Drosophila melanogaster: one gene and its partner. The protein of the gene in region 2 purifies or fractionates together with the protein of the main gene of each other region. This does not show direct contact. Each region holds a gene or a part of one and is shown on either strand. Other genes may lie near its edges. The genes, in order: dia and Apc.

Evidence for each region.
Region 1: the proteins of Apc (region 2) and dia purify together in Drosophila melanogaster (affinity purification with western blotting, with the first as the bait; 2 studies listed by BioGRID). This does not show direct contact.

What each region holds. Positions count from the first base shown.
Region 1 is NT_033779.5:20,758,337-20,766,536, reverse strand, and holds the start of dia (diaphanous), read right to left. Parts: upstream 6,238-8,200; 5' UTR 6,100-6,237; coding exon 6,080-6,099; intron 6,013-6,079; coding exon 5,696-6,012; coding exon of another isoform or gene 5,640-5,695; exon of another isoform or gene 4,396-5,639; intron 3,041-4,395; coding exon 1,085-3,040; intron 1,028-1,084; coding exon 497-1,027; intron 420-496; coding exon 1-419. UniProt on the Drosophila melanogaster protein: Required for cytokinesis in both mitosis and meiosis. Has a role in actin cytoskeleton organization and is essential for many, if not all, actin-mediated events involving membrane invagination.
Region 2 is NT_033777.3:28,841,651-28,846,462, forward strand, and holds the start of Apc (APC-like), read right to left. Parts: upstream 3,099-4,812; 5' UTR 2,910-3,098; intron 634-2,909; exon of another isoform or gene 569-633; intron 1-568. Other genes in the region: spg (sponge), read left to right, coding at 4,317-4,350.

The DNA of each region.
Region 1 (8,200 bases), on a different chromosome or scaffold from region 2:
GTTGGTGACACGCGTCCGCGATCGACTCCGGCTGAGCTGTGCCCTCCGCTCCGCTCCCGCCGGTCGTTGTCGCCGGGCCTGTCGATTTCGTTGGCCAAAGGCTGAGCCCGTTTGCAGCGCCTCCAACAGACTGTCCATCACGCCTTCCTGCGTCTGCGGGGCATCCATGTCAACCACTGCCTTCTTACGCTGTTGGCGCTCCTGTTGCTCTCGAGCAGACTGCTCTCGGGCCTCCTGCAGACGACGCTTCTTCTCCAGCTCCTCGCGTACCCGGACATTGTCGTTGTGGGCCGCTTGGAAGGCATCCTTGAAAGTCTTGATGTCCGCAAAGAACTCCTCCATTGTGTATTTGCTGGGATCGAAGGCATAGTACTCGCTGAGGTCCTTGTACAGCTTCTCCATTTGCAGCTGCATTTTGCCTGAAATTAAAACGAGATGTTAGAGAATTCGATTTTGCTCATGTAATATTCGTTCCGATCAGATGAGATAATCTTACCCAGCACGTCCACTTGTTGTCTGCACTCCTCGGCAAACTTGCCCATCACCTCGCTAAACTTGTCATCATCACACTGCGGCACCTTGTTGTTCTGGAGATCAGTTTCCAGGTTCTTAACCGCCGAATTCATTTGCCGCATGGCCTTTTGGATGGCATCCATGTTGACCCGCGACGCTTTATTAACATGCGACAGATCGTCGTAGAAGTTTAGTGCATCTGGGAATTTCTTTTCCACCAGGTCAGCCAGGTAGTGCAGCAATGTCTGCTTATTATCCGCATCCTTCGTATTGGACAGTTTGGTTAAATAACTGATCTCAAAGCCAAAGGCGGCCTCGTTTTTGGAGCCCGAGTTCATGTAATTTCCAAGCAGCAGAATCAGCTCCAAGATCTTTGAGAACTTTTTGCTATTCCGGATCTCTTCGCATGCTGCCGTTCCTGCCACAATGTCGGGTTTGATATCCTGCACCATGTCCGCGTAGGTCAGCTTGAAGTTCAGGTTGTGAAGTCGCGGCGAAAGGCGTTTAATTTCCCCTGAAATTAAGTAAAGTTATTCTGCGCCTTCTGCACTACAAACTCCATTCGCCTTACCTATTGTGGCTGCAAACTGTTCAATCGGCGGTAGCGGTTCGCCCTTTGCCTTGATCTCCTGCAAACGCTTGAGGTGCTCTGGCGGCGGAAGGTACTGGATAAGTTGCTGCAGGATATTGGAGGACAGGATGTCGGTGTCGCAGCGCAGCAAGCAGATCTTGATCTGTTCGTAGGACAGATGCTTCAGCGATCCTCCCAACATAATAGCCAAGTTCTGAGCAGTCTTCGAGTCGAGCACACGAAGATCGACATTTTTCTTTGTCAGCGTCGTTGGCTTGTCCACCGCATCCTTCTGTTCTTTCTTTACAGGTTTAGAAGAGAATTTCACGGCCAGTTCTGCGAGGAAGTCATCCTGGGCCAGCTTATCCTCCTGGCACTTGACCCAGAATGCCTTGTCGGACATTTTGGCCGGGACAATGGCTTTCCAGTTGGCCCGCTTCATGGGATTCTTGACGTCCCACTTCTTCTTCGGTTTTAAGCCATGAGGCAGAACGGGAACCATGGGCCCCATCATCATGGGCGGTGGTGGAGGTCCCCCTCCTGGGCGCATCATGCCAGGCATGGGTGGAGGCGGTGGGCCTCCCATTCCGGGCGGTGGAGGAGGTGGTGGCGGTCCACCTGCCCTTCCCGGCATGGGAGGTGGTGGTGGAGGCGGAGGTCCACCACCTGCTCGTCCCGGCATAGGTGGCGGCGGTGGGGGAGGTGCTCCTCCTCCTCCTGGTGGTGGCGGTGGCATGGGTATGTTTACCTTGGGTAGCTTATTGGGCGACGGAGCCGCCACACCATTAGCCTCCATCAACTTGACTTTCTCCTCCAGATGAGCCGCCTTCGCTTCCGCCTCTTGCTTGGCACTCTCCAGCTGCTCGATCTTCTTCTCGTACTCCTCCGACCGCTTCGACTCCTTGGCCTTGGCCTTCTCCACAATGTCGTCCAGCAGTAGCGAGGTGTCTATATTAAAGTTCCGGTTCTCGAAATTCGGATCACAGTAACCCTTGTGGAAGACGATTTGTGAGATGCACTCCTCAATCAGCTGATAATAGGCAGGTCGGAAGTAGAAGTCATCCCTGATGTACAGCAAATGCTGCAGGATGGACAGGAAGTAGGGCTCGGAAGTGGTGTCAGTCACCAGGTTCTTCAGCACATCGAAGCAATCGGTGGCGTCGTCCATGTTGAAGGTGACATTATCGAAGCGCTGCACAAACTCCTCGAAGTCATCCTCGCGGATCTCGTTGAAGATCTTGAAGTGCTGCTGCAGGTTCTCATTATTGCTGGCCTCCACGATTTTGGTGAACTCATCTAGGCGATCGTATAGACCCATGCGCATAATCTCACATCGCAAGTGCAGGCGGAAGTTCAAATCCGTGGGGGTATTGGTGAGAGTATTAATAAAAATCAGGCTGTGGCATGCCAAGTCCCGTTTGGGATCCTGCTGATCCGATGCAAACAAGGCATCCACTATGGGTCGAAAGCGCTCGCTCGCTTTAAAGGATGTGGCTGCAATAGTGGTTATGGCTCGGAGAACCTTCTCGTAGCCATTCCGCTCATAGACAATGCAGAACGAGGCCAGCAGCTTGAGGGCTTCACACATCGTCTGCGGCTTCCGGGGATCCAGGGATTGCGCCAGCAGCAGCACCACACTATGCTGATCCGGATTGAGCACCACGTTCAGACCCCATGTGTTGTTCATGATCGCCTTCAGGCACCGAATCGCCTCGAACTCGATCTTCTCGTAGCTGGCATTATTCTTTGACCGGGCCAGCAGCTTCTCAATCGTCCCGATGCCCGCCACTCCAAACTCCTTGATCCACGAGATCGGATTGCTGGTGAGCGCCACGCGCAGAGATTCCACACATTGGTACACCTTGTGCGTGCTGTGCTCCCCATTCTGCAGGTATTCCACATAGTCTATGGGCTTCTCGAAGCGGGAGTTGGCGCTACGCTCCAGTGAGTTTTTACCTGGAAGAGAAATTGGAGTTGGAGTCGGATGAGCGCACGTATTGAATTTCTGTAAAGCTATTTAGTGGTCAGCGGTATTTTACATAGTAGACATAGGAATATGGTTCTATAAACACCTATTAATATCTAATCCGATCAGTTCGTAACTTAAGCAATTGATAATTATGGCTAATATTGGACATTTTGATTTGTTACACTTTTGACATAAATTAAAAGTTGGCACAATAGTAAATTAAAGTACATTTTGCCATTCAACTCACGTTTGTGCTGTTTCGATGATAAAAAGTATACGGGTTCATTCCAAAATAGCTCAAGGCTTATATTTTGAAAGAAAGAGGTTTGCCTCCCACCGACAACACACCTGAATTTAGTCATATCAGCGATGATTCACTCTACCCTATCATTAGTCTGCTAAATCGGAATACTTTCCCACAAACGTACAATGGCAATTTGATAAGAAAACCATTTAATTAACGAGAAATTACCACTTAAGCTCTAATCTGGAATATAATCGTTAACAAGTTATGTTAAACAAAGGTGTAACATTATACACATATCAACACATTATAATACGCAAATGTGTTTTTAAGTTTATTTGCCATCACTCCAGATTTTCCAACTTGAAGTTTGTAAATTTCATGATAAAGGATGATACATATTCTATATAGGTGGCTCAATGATTACACTTTGGAGGTTCTAAATAGTTGCTGCACAGCTTTATGTGATAACTTTGCCCTAAAACTGTGAGAGATAGGGGTAGTTAAAAGGCTATCATCATGTCCCACCTTTGGAAGGGAGGCCTTCGGTGCGACCACCCACCCCTTTTTCTGATTGACCTGCACCACTGACATCACTCAAATTGGCCAAAACCTGCCCACCACTTATACGTTTATCCGTCAAAGCAAAACTACGCTAACTGTTTTATTAATTAACTCAAAACGGCAAGCGAAGCGTGTTAATGAACAGCTTTTTGTGCGAGCCTTTTTTGTTGTCGGCCAGTCCATTGTTTGTGTTTTAAATTTAATTTCGCAACAAGTGGGTTCTGCCACAATAAACACGACCCACAAATACTTACTTCAGTCGCTTTTACCTCTCACTCGCAGCTATCTGCACCTATGAGATACGATTGTGCCGCAGCTCAAGTTTACTGACAGGCATCACAATTTATTTTCAGCTCGATTTTGTCATAATGTGTTTAATGTTTTCGCATATTTGCATTTTATGGCCGTTCCAAAGTGTAAGGAAAATCACCCTCTGCCTCTGCTACACTGAGAACTAAGCCTCGTCGGTACAGGAAATTTGAATTAAAATTTGAAATATTAAATTTATATTCAATAACAAGGCCATTGAGATTTATAAATAGTAGGTTATAATCATTAGCTATATTTATATATGATGTTTAGTAAAAATACTTTCAGTGTACATAGTACATCTCTCTCTCGCCTTCACGATGCACTTGCTTATACAACAAAAAGACCTAAGCGCGAAATAAAAGAATCATTTCATTTTCTCACTGCCACTTGACGTAATTTAAATTGTATAATGTGCACGGTGGTGGAAATTCAATGTCTTTGCATTTTCATTTTTTGCCGCTCGACTTTGTCACGCATTCGCCGCGTACCACTTACATACATACTATGTATAATATAGCACTTGGTATTACTTGATAAAATGGGCAAGCAGATAGTCCGCGGCTGTGGCGCAATTAGGCGTTACAAACGATAAGGGAACTTTGATTCCACACTCCGCAAGACTGATAATGGACCATGGCCATGGTGAACTAACTGGAGCGAGACCCAAAGAACGAAGCTGAAGCTGAAAGCTGAGCTGGCATTGAAATGTGCTCAAGATACAGCTGGCGATGTGCTACAGTGATAATTGGTAGTATCACTGTAGTACAGTAGAGTACACCGTACTAATCTCGCTGGATATGAATGAAGCAAACACAAGGGAAGATTCCAGCTGAATCATTACCGCGCTGCGATGCACATAATATCGTTATAATAATTCTAGAAATAAAGTATTCTCAAAATTGAAGTAGAGTTAAGCAAGTATATGTAGTTAACAAACAAAGTAATCACCTCTTGACTAATTGAAGTGGAAACCATTTAGAGACTTATGTATGTTATGAGCTTACTTATCCAAAGGATCGTTGACATCACTTCAATCGGTTTAGGAATTGGCCAGAAATATAGAACAGAACCTGGCCACAGAGCAAATTGGCAGCTAAGAAGGCGCTAAGCAATCAGAAAGCGAAATTTGCAGTGTCACGCACACAGCGAAACGGGGAAAGCACACGGACACGAGTTCCGTTACCTGCTTATCTTATCACAAGTGGAATGCAATATTCCGCAGCACAACAAAAGCAAAAAAAAAAAGTAGAAGGCAGAGTCACCCAGTTGCACGAAAATCGATGGTCTGCTGTTTGTATACCCTTGCAAAGGGAAAGGGTGTTAAAGTTTTGCCAATCCGGTTGGCCTTTCAAAGTTGCTTGGAACATTACGGTTCAGACGAGTTTAGATTATTCGTATATGTATGTAGATTATTCTTAGACTTTCTATTCCAGAACTATAGTTCTTAGCCAAACGATACTCAATCTTCAAACACAAATGCGGTTTTCTGTTTGAAAACGTGTACTTGCACCATGTTCTTTACCTTTCAAGTGCCACATAATCATCTTCTGTCGCTCCTCCTTCGATTTGGCCAACAGGGGCTCCCTCTTGTCCTTCGGAATGTTCATGTCCTCGATGATCTCCAGAAACTTCGCATCCAGCTCCGCAACGCTTAGCTGCTGGATGTACTGCTCAAAGTCCTCCACGCCCGGCACCACATAGTTGTCCGCGGACACGGGTCGTCCGCCATGGGCCAGGGTGCCACTGCTGATGGTTCCTCCCTTGGACTTCGAGGGTCTTCCGAACAGACTGTCCAGGAGCCCGCCGCCCGTGGATTTCGTTTTCTCGTGACGAGACATTCTGCAAAGAACAGAACAGAAATATTGGGTTCGATTTCATAAACTATGCAAAAGATTTCAAGTCTAACCCCAGCTTTTTGAGGCGCATTTCGTTGGATAGCTAGGCGAAAACTAAACAAAGACCAAACAACGATTTTTGGGGCCTGCGCAGTCTTCAATATTTTGGGGGAGACAACTTGCACAGCTGTTCCTTGTTTACAAGTGTTCGAGAGCAGCGCACAGACCGCGGTTTCTGATGGCTTCCCAGCGAATGCATCCAATCGATGGACGGATGGCTGGGAGGTGGTCGATCATTATCAGCTTGGGTTTATTTACAATTATCTGGGGTGCCGTAATGTCGATTCAGCCTCAACGGAGTGTGGAATTTTCAATTAACACGTACATATGTACGTATTTTGAGGGAACGAGGCCCATTACAGTGGTTCTTCGACTTGGAAAGGGTGCTGTTTTCCTTTTACATGCTTAAGAACATTAACACATGAGAGTTGGCTTTCATTTAAAATTTTTTAAGGGTGGAAATCTAATAGGAATTATAATTTTAATACTGTGTGAATATTACTGGTAAGCTCAAAAATGATCAATTTATAATTAGGTTTGTACAATAAGTTTATATTACAGATTAAAACACTCTCAAGCTTAACCATTTTCCAAATTAGAATCCGACCACTGTGCTATCCAAAACTCTCACCGCGTGAAAACGACTGATTATAATTATAAACAAAAACGATAAAAGTATACCGCAGCAAATTGGACAAATTCATTAATAATGCGCACTAAATTTACAAAACGATGCGATAATCGCGGCCAGCCAAAATAGGAAATAGCACGTTATTCACAGCGCAAAACTGAGAGCCAAACAAAACACGAGAGAAATTGGTTAGAATATGTGGAGAATATGGAGTGATTCATTTGACCAGGCTGAGAGGCTGGCCGTTAGCGTTTGAACATTTGAATTGCCTTGTATTGAAGGATGCGTTGGGAACAAGCTTTGGCTTTTTGCGTTAGCTTGTCCAACGCATCTAATGAATCACTAATGAAATCGGAATCGCAGCAGCTGAGCAGCAGAGGTAGAAAACAGAAAATCCAATAAAAAGGCAAACGAGCAACAGGTTTTGCGGATGGTTCTGGCTCGCTACACGGAAAACAAAGTACTTAAACTGTAAGATTTGATTAGGAAATGAAATAAACGTTCGTTATTAGTGCTCTTAAATTGAGTAAAATTTACATTTTAAGCTAAGAGAGCTATAAAGTGCTGCGTTTCAATATTTGGCATGCAAGGATAAATTTAATAGATATATAGATATAGATATATATGTGCCCTGGTATTTTCTGCAGTGTGGCGAACGGGCGTGCCAACTGGCGGCAAATCATTCACAGTGCTCGGCTAGAGAAATCAAATTTAATATATGACTCCGCAAAAGGCCAATTGTGAATGGAGTGTTGTGTGTGTGTGTGTGTGTGGGCAGAGGAGTGTGCGAGGGAGGGGGCGAGGAGGTGGGTAGTGGAGAGTGGAGCGACAAGTTCAAGCAGGGCAACAATTTCTTTTCAGGTCGCCAGTACACATAAGCATCTGCGGAGGAAATGCTTTCAACAAGATTTCTTTTGCCAAAGAATTTACTGCAATTGCCTCTTTCTCTATTTTGTTTACATGCACTGCATCTCTTTCCCTCCCCTCCACAACATCACAACACAACCCTCCGCGACCAACACTCCTTCCACAGAACGATCTACATATGTCTTTCTCGCTCCCGCTCTGGCATTAGTTGTGTGCTGCAACTGCGAAAATGTAAACAAGTATAAAACCGTCTAATAACCGCTGGAATTCCAAGAAACGAAACGAGAATTGGTAAGAATGCGCTCACCTTCGTTTTGATATCTGTGTCGCCTGCTCACTTTTGATTTTTTTCGGTGGTTTACGTCATAAGACCAGAAAAATAATGGCTTGCCACTCTCACACAAATAGAGCCACACTCGCACACGCACACAAACTCGCGATCAAACGGCTTTTGTTGTGGTTGTTGTTTTTGGACTATGTCTTTTTGTTTGTTTTATTGCGCGACGCTCTGTACAAAAAACAAGCTGACAAGCTGTGCACACCGTTCCCTCCGAACACTTTTTCTTGCAGTGTGGTACTCCTTACTTATTTAGTTGTTGCTCTTGCTTTCCACTTTCGGCCACTTGTTGCTCCT
Region 2 (4,812 bases):
ATTGCCTGCTCTATCGCTCTGTAACTTAATCATCGGCCAACATTCAGGTGGCGGCAGCCACAATAGCAAATGAGCAGCTAAGTCATTATCATGATTAGCTGGCGCTGCATCTTTTTAGAAAGTTAGCGGCACACGGCGTCGTCTTTGCGGAATTTCCAGTGCATGAAGAAAGATACAGATGCGTTTTCAGCAGATATATTATATTGCCTCGGCTCTCATTGTTGTTGCTACACACACTCCATAAGCACAAGACATATTTCTCATTTGAGCTACCGTTGAATTATGTGCAAATGCAATTTGGTGCTGCACTTCTTTTTTTTCAGCTGTTATTGTAGCGTAAAATTGAGCGTGGACGGACAGAAGTGCATAAATATGTATGTACACAGAGAGAAAATAACGTAACTAACGTAAGGTCACTATTAAGTTATTTACACAACTTTAATCAAGGGTCAAATAAATCCTTGGGGTTCTTAAATCAATCTACAAAGTGTCTTAAAGTATGGCACAATTTATTTACTGCATAATTTTAGATATCGAATGAAAAGGAATATAACAAATGATTTGATACCTTGTATTTTCAAGCATTTTTTCACTGTGTACCCAATCCAATTCAAGACTTCAAGTGGATTGAGTTTGGGATTGGGAATGACCCGGGTCGTGTACCAGTTCTGGCTCCGCACAAGTCGACTTGTTCAAGCTCCAATTGGCAAATTAATCAAATTTTAATTGCGACCAGCGTAAAGAGCGAAAACAGCCGGCGAACGAAAAGTGGTAACCGCAATTTGAGTGGCTGTGAAATGCAAATCGCTTGTGTAACAGCGGAAATGCATCCATCCATCCAAGCCACTCGATTGGAATGCCGCACTGGACACAGTGGCCATCGTTCATCATTGCCGATCGATTGTTTGCCTAGGCCTCAAATATATAAAATATGTGATCAGCCGGCACTATCACCGCCTTGATAAGGCACACAGTTCGGCTCCACCGATTAACATTTAGCAAGAGTCACGATATCAGTGCTCTCGAGGCCAAGAATTCGAAAGACGAACAGAGCAGAGTAGAGCGATTCGATGAATCAACGATCCGCGAATTAGACAAACACAAGTATCTAGATACGACATAGATACTTTTAGTACCCCAAAGAATGCGAGAATATGCGTCACTTGTCTAGCCAAGAGCCGTGTACCCGGTCCCCCAGAGACGACTCCTCGTGTCATTAACCGGCCAGCGAGTCGCACAAGGGAATCAGCCCTGCACAATGGACACAATTCGACTCCAAGCGTTTCGAGTCAACTGTATTGGGAAACTAAATTGGTTCGCATAGTTAGCGAAAACAGAAACAACCCCACGCTTTGAAATAAAATACAAGTGCCATAGTTTAGCGGATAGAAAGTGAATCAGACTGACAAACTTTTAGTCACCCAGTTTCTATTTCTTTCAGAGATAACGAGATTTCAAAAACAAATGTGACTTATTGCTTGAATAACACTTGCTTAGTAAGACTTACTAAGCACTTACTTAAACTGATAGGTGTAAAAGAATAAATAAAAGTGTTTATTTGATAATTGTATATCCAAATATTTGCATAATTAAATGAATTATGAGAATGAACAATTCCATTTTTGGTAATATGCATATAAATTAAGCATTTGTGTAGCATGGGTGGATCAGATTTGGATTTTGAAAGATAAAGCTTCATCACCTTATAGAGGGTAAGGTCTTAAAAGTTATTTTAAACCGACATATGAATACCTAATTTGGAAAGTGTAATTTGTTGTGATAAAATGAATACTAGGTTGAAATATTTGAAAGAGGGAAATATTTTTTTTGGCAGATTGATGATCTGAAGGGTGGTTTTCGTCACACCCTCCCCTAAAAATGGTACAATTACAATTACAATTAGAAGGGAATAGCAAAAATAAAAAATATTTCTCCAATAAGTGAATTCCCATTAAGCTAATAACCAATTTTGCCACCACATCGCCCCATCCCACCCACTGTGCGGTTTTTTGGCTTGGCACACATTTTGCATACGAAATATTCGCGGCAGAATTATCAAAGAAAAAAGAATGGAAGATTTGCGGGGGAAGGAAAAGCGGTAAAGATGATGACACCGCGAGCCATCAAACCACAGGGAAATGTACGCAAAAACATTAAATAATGAAACTACATACTAACTACTGTACATATGTACATATGTATGTACTTATGATTTCTGTGTGTGCATTTATGAGCTGGTTTAATGAACGCCACTTTTGTTTTGCTGCCCGGTTGTTTTGTGTCTTTGCCGCCGCGAGATGATGATTATGTAAATTGTAGAAAAGTAAAAGGGAAACTAAATACGAGCGCATGCAGTGTGGAATTGTGTTTTCCTTTTCTCCCATGTTTGTGGGCATGTAAGACAATCGAGCGTGCCGATATTAACGTATTTTCCTTAATGCGGTGATTAATTATGCTGAGGTGAAGTTGAATGGAAGTGCTCGAAAATAGTTATCAATTAGGCGTGCCACAATCACTTGCAGCTGTTGGAAAACTAAAACGAAAACAACAACAACGAAACAAACGAAACACACTGCGTTTTCCAACTGATAAAGGAGCACTCACACACATAGACACACACATGCACGCACTTTGCACACCCACACTAGGGCGCAGTCGCGTTCTGATTGGGACCTTTATTGATTTTTCCTGTAAAAGGAATCGGCAGGAGAACAGGAAACTACTAAAGAGTATCTCATGCTCCAAGTTGAGCTAAACACATTTGTATTCGCCAGCTGTATATGGTGCGCATTTATTGAGTAAACATTCTGCGTTTTATTGTCAGGCCCAAAAAGAACAATTCCAATTGGAAGAGTCAGCGACTATACTCCCACACACACACGAACCCAGAGATTCTCCGATTGGCGTACCTTGACTAAAAACACAATTTCTCGGCAGCTTCCTCGCCCACCAGATGACACATTTCCCGCTTTATCACTTGTTTGCCCACAGATATTGCCACTATTTGGATTCTTGGCTTGTTTCGCGACAAAACAAATACGCAGCGCGGCCGAAATTCCGAGTCCGCTTATCAACAAAAATTGCGACCAACCGCGGCGAGCAGTGTGACTGTTATATCGAGAATTCGAAAAACCAACAAGAAATAGCTGCTAGGGATGGGAGAATGTAGCGATATCTTGGGATCATATATATCGCTTGAATATTTACTTCGTTCGTAATATATTTATACTGCAATTTATTTTCTAACCTTAAAGATTTAGTGCTTATATTTTATTCATTATATATCTCGGTTAAGTAATACGTACACCGTTAATTTAAAAGAAAAAATTTAAAAAAAAATGGGATAGAGTTAATGGGGCCGAGTCAGACCAACGCTATGGACTGCATATTAAAACGGATTTGGTATTGTTTTGTTTGTTAAATTATTGAATACATTGAATGAATGTGCCTCCAAAACTGTAACTGCGAATTGGTTCGGGTCTTAGCTAGACCATAAATACCGGTGTGACCGTCACCGCTAAAATGAAAATTCCCTCAAAAATGCAATAGTAAATAATCCATCGCTTAGCAACTGGCCACACTGCAACGTATATAAGCCGACGAATCCCGAATTTTGTTGTTGTTCTTCAAACAGCTGAGCGGCGGACGGATATTTGTTGTTGCTGCGCCCGGGAAGCTGCGCAGCGGAGAACGCGAAAAATAATAAAACGCAAAAAATAGCGAAAATTAAACGCGTTGCAAGTGCAGCAGAAAACAACGGTAATAATTCGCGAAGCCAAGGGACAAGCAATTTAAATTGCGCACAGTGTAGAAATCCAATTGGAAGTTCGGCTGGGAGTCCCAAATTCGTATTGATTTTCTTGTTTGTGTGTGCGCGGGTCCGTGAAAAAGGCAACAAAAGCAAAGCCACCACTTCCAGACTTCCCAATCAGCCACTTCCTTTTCTTCCACCTAGCGGTAATCATTGCCAATTGGAACCGCGATCGTTGCCTTCCAGCGACAACAACAATGTAGCAAGTGTATTTTCTGCTTGTAGTTGTAGTTATTAAACAAGATAAAGTGCGAGAAAGAGAAGGAGATAGACAACAACAAAAGCGAAAGTTTTATTGAGTGCGTAGATGTGTACGAGTGTGTATGTGTGCTATTGCGAAAAATTGTTGATAAATATTGGCCGTTATAAATGCGAATTCAAATGCAGATATTTGCCGATGAAAAGGGTGTTTCCTCAAAAAACCGTTGATTAATTATAAATGCAAGGAGTGGCCGGCTAAGTTGGATTTTTTCGGCTTAACTTGCAGCGAAGCAGCAGCGACAAAATGTGGATACCTTCGAACAACAAATACGGAGTTGGTGAGTAAATAATAAGAGTAGGCGGTGTGCCACCCACTTTTCCAAGCTACCCACCACCCCCCGCTGGGCGTCACGTGCGCGGCCTTTGTTTTTATTGCTGCCTTTTGCGGCGATTCACGCGTTTTTCCGCGAAACGCCGGATACCATGCCAACCACCCCCGCACGTTACCGAGCGGGGAGGAAAAGCGACTTTTCTACTTATTTTTGTACACAAACTGTTTGTAGCATCATCATCCCCCAGTTCACCGCACCGCCCCCCCCCCCTTTCCATGCAGCGTGTAGTGTATCTCAAAGAGATTTCCCTGTTTGTTGTTGCTGCCGCTGCGCTGCGATTTGATGTGTTTATACACACAGTTTTCCGCGCGCTCAGTTTTCCCGCACAGCGCTCGGCTGTCGCGTTGCCAATTTCCCCCCAGCCCAGGTGTTGCCAATTTAAATGCTTTCGTAATTACGAACACCTAA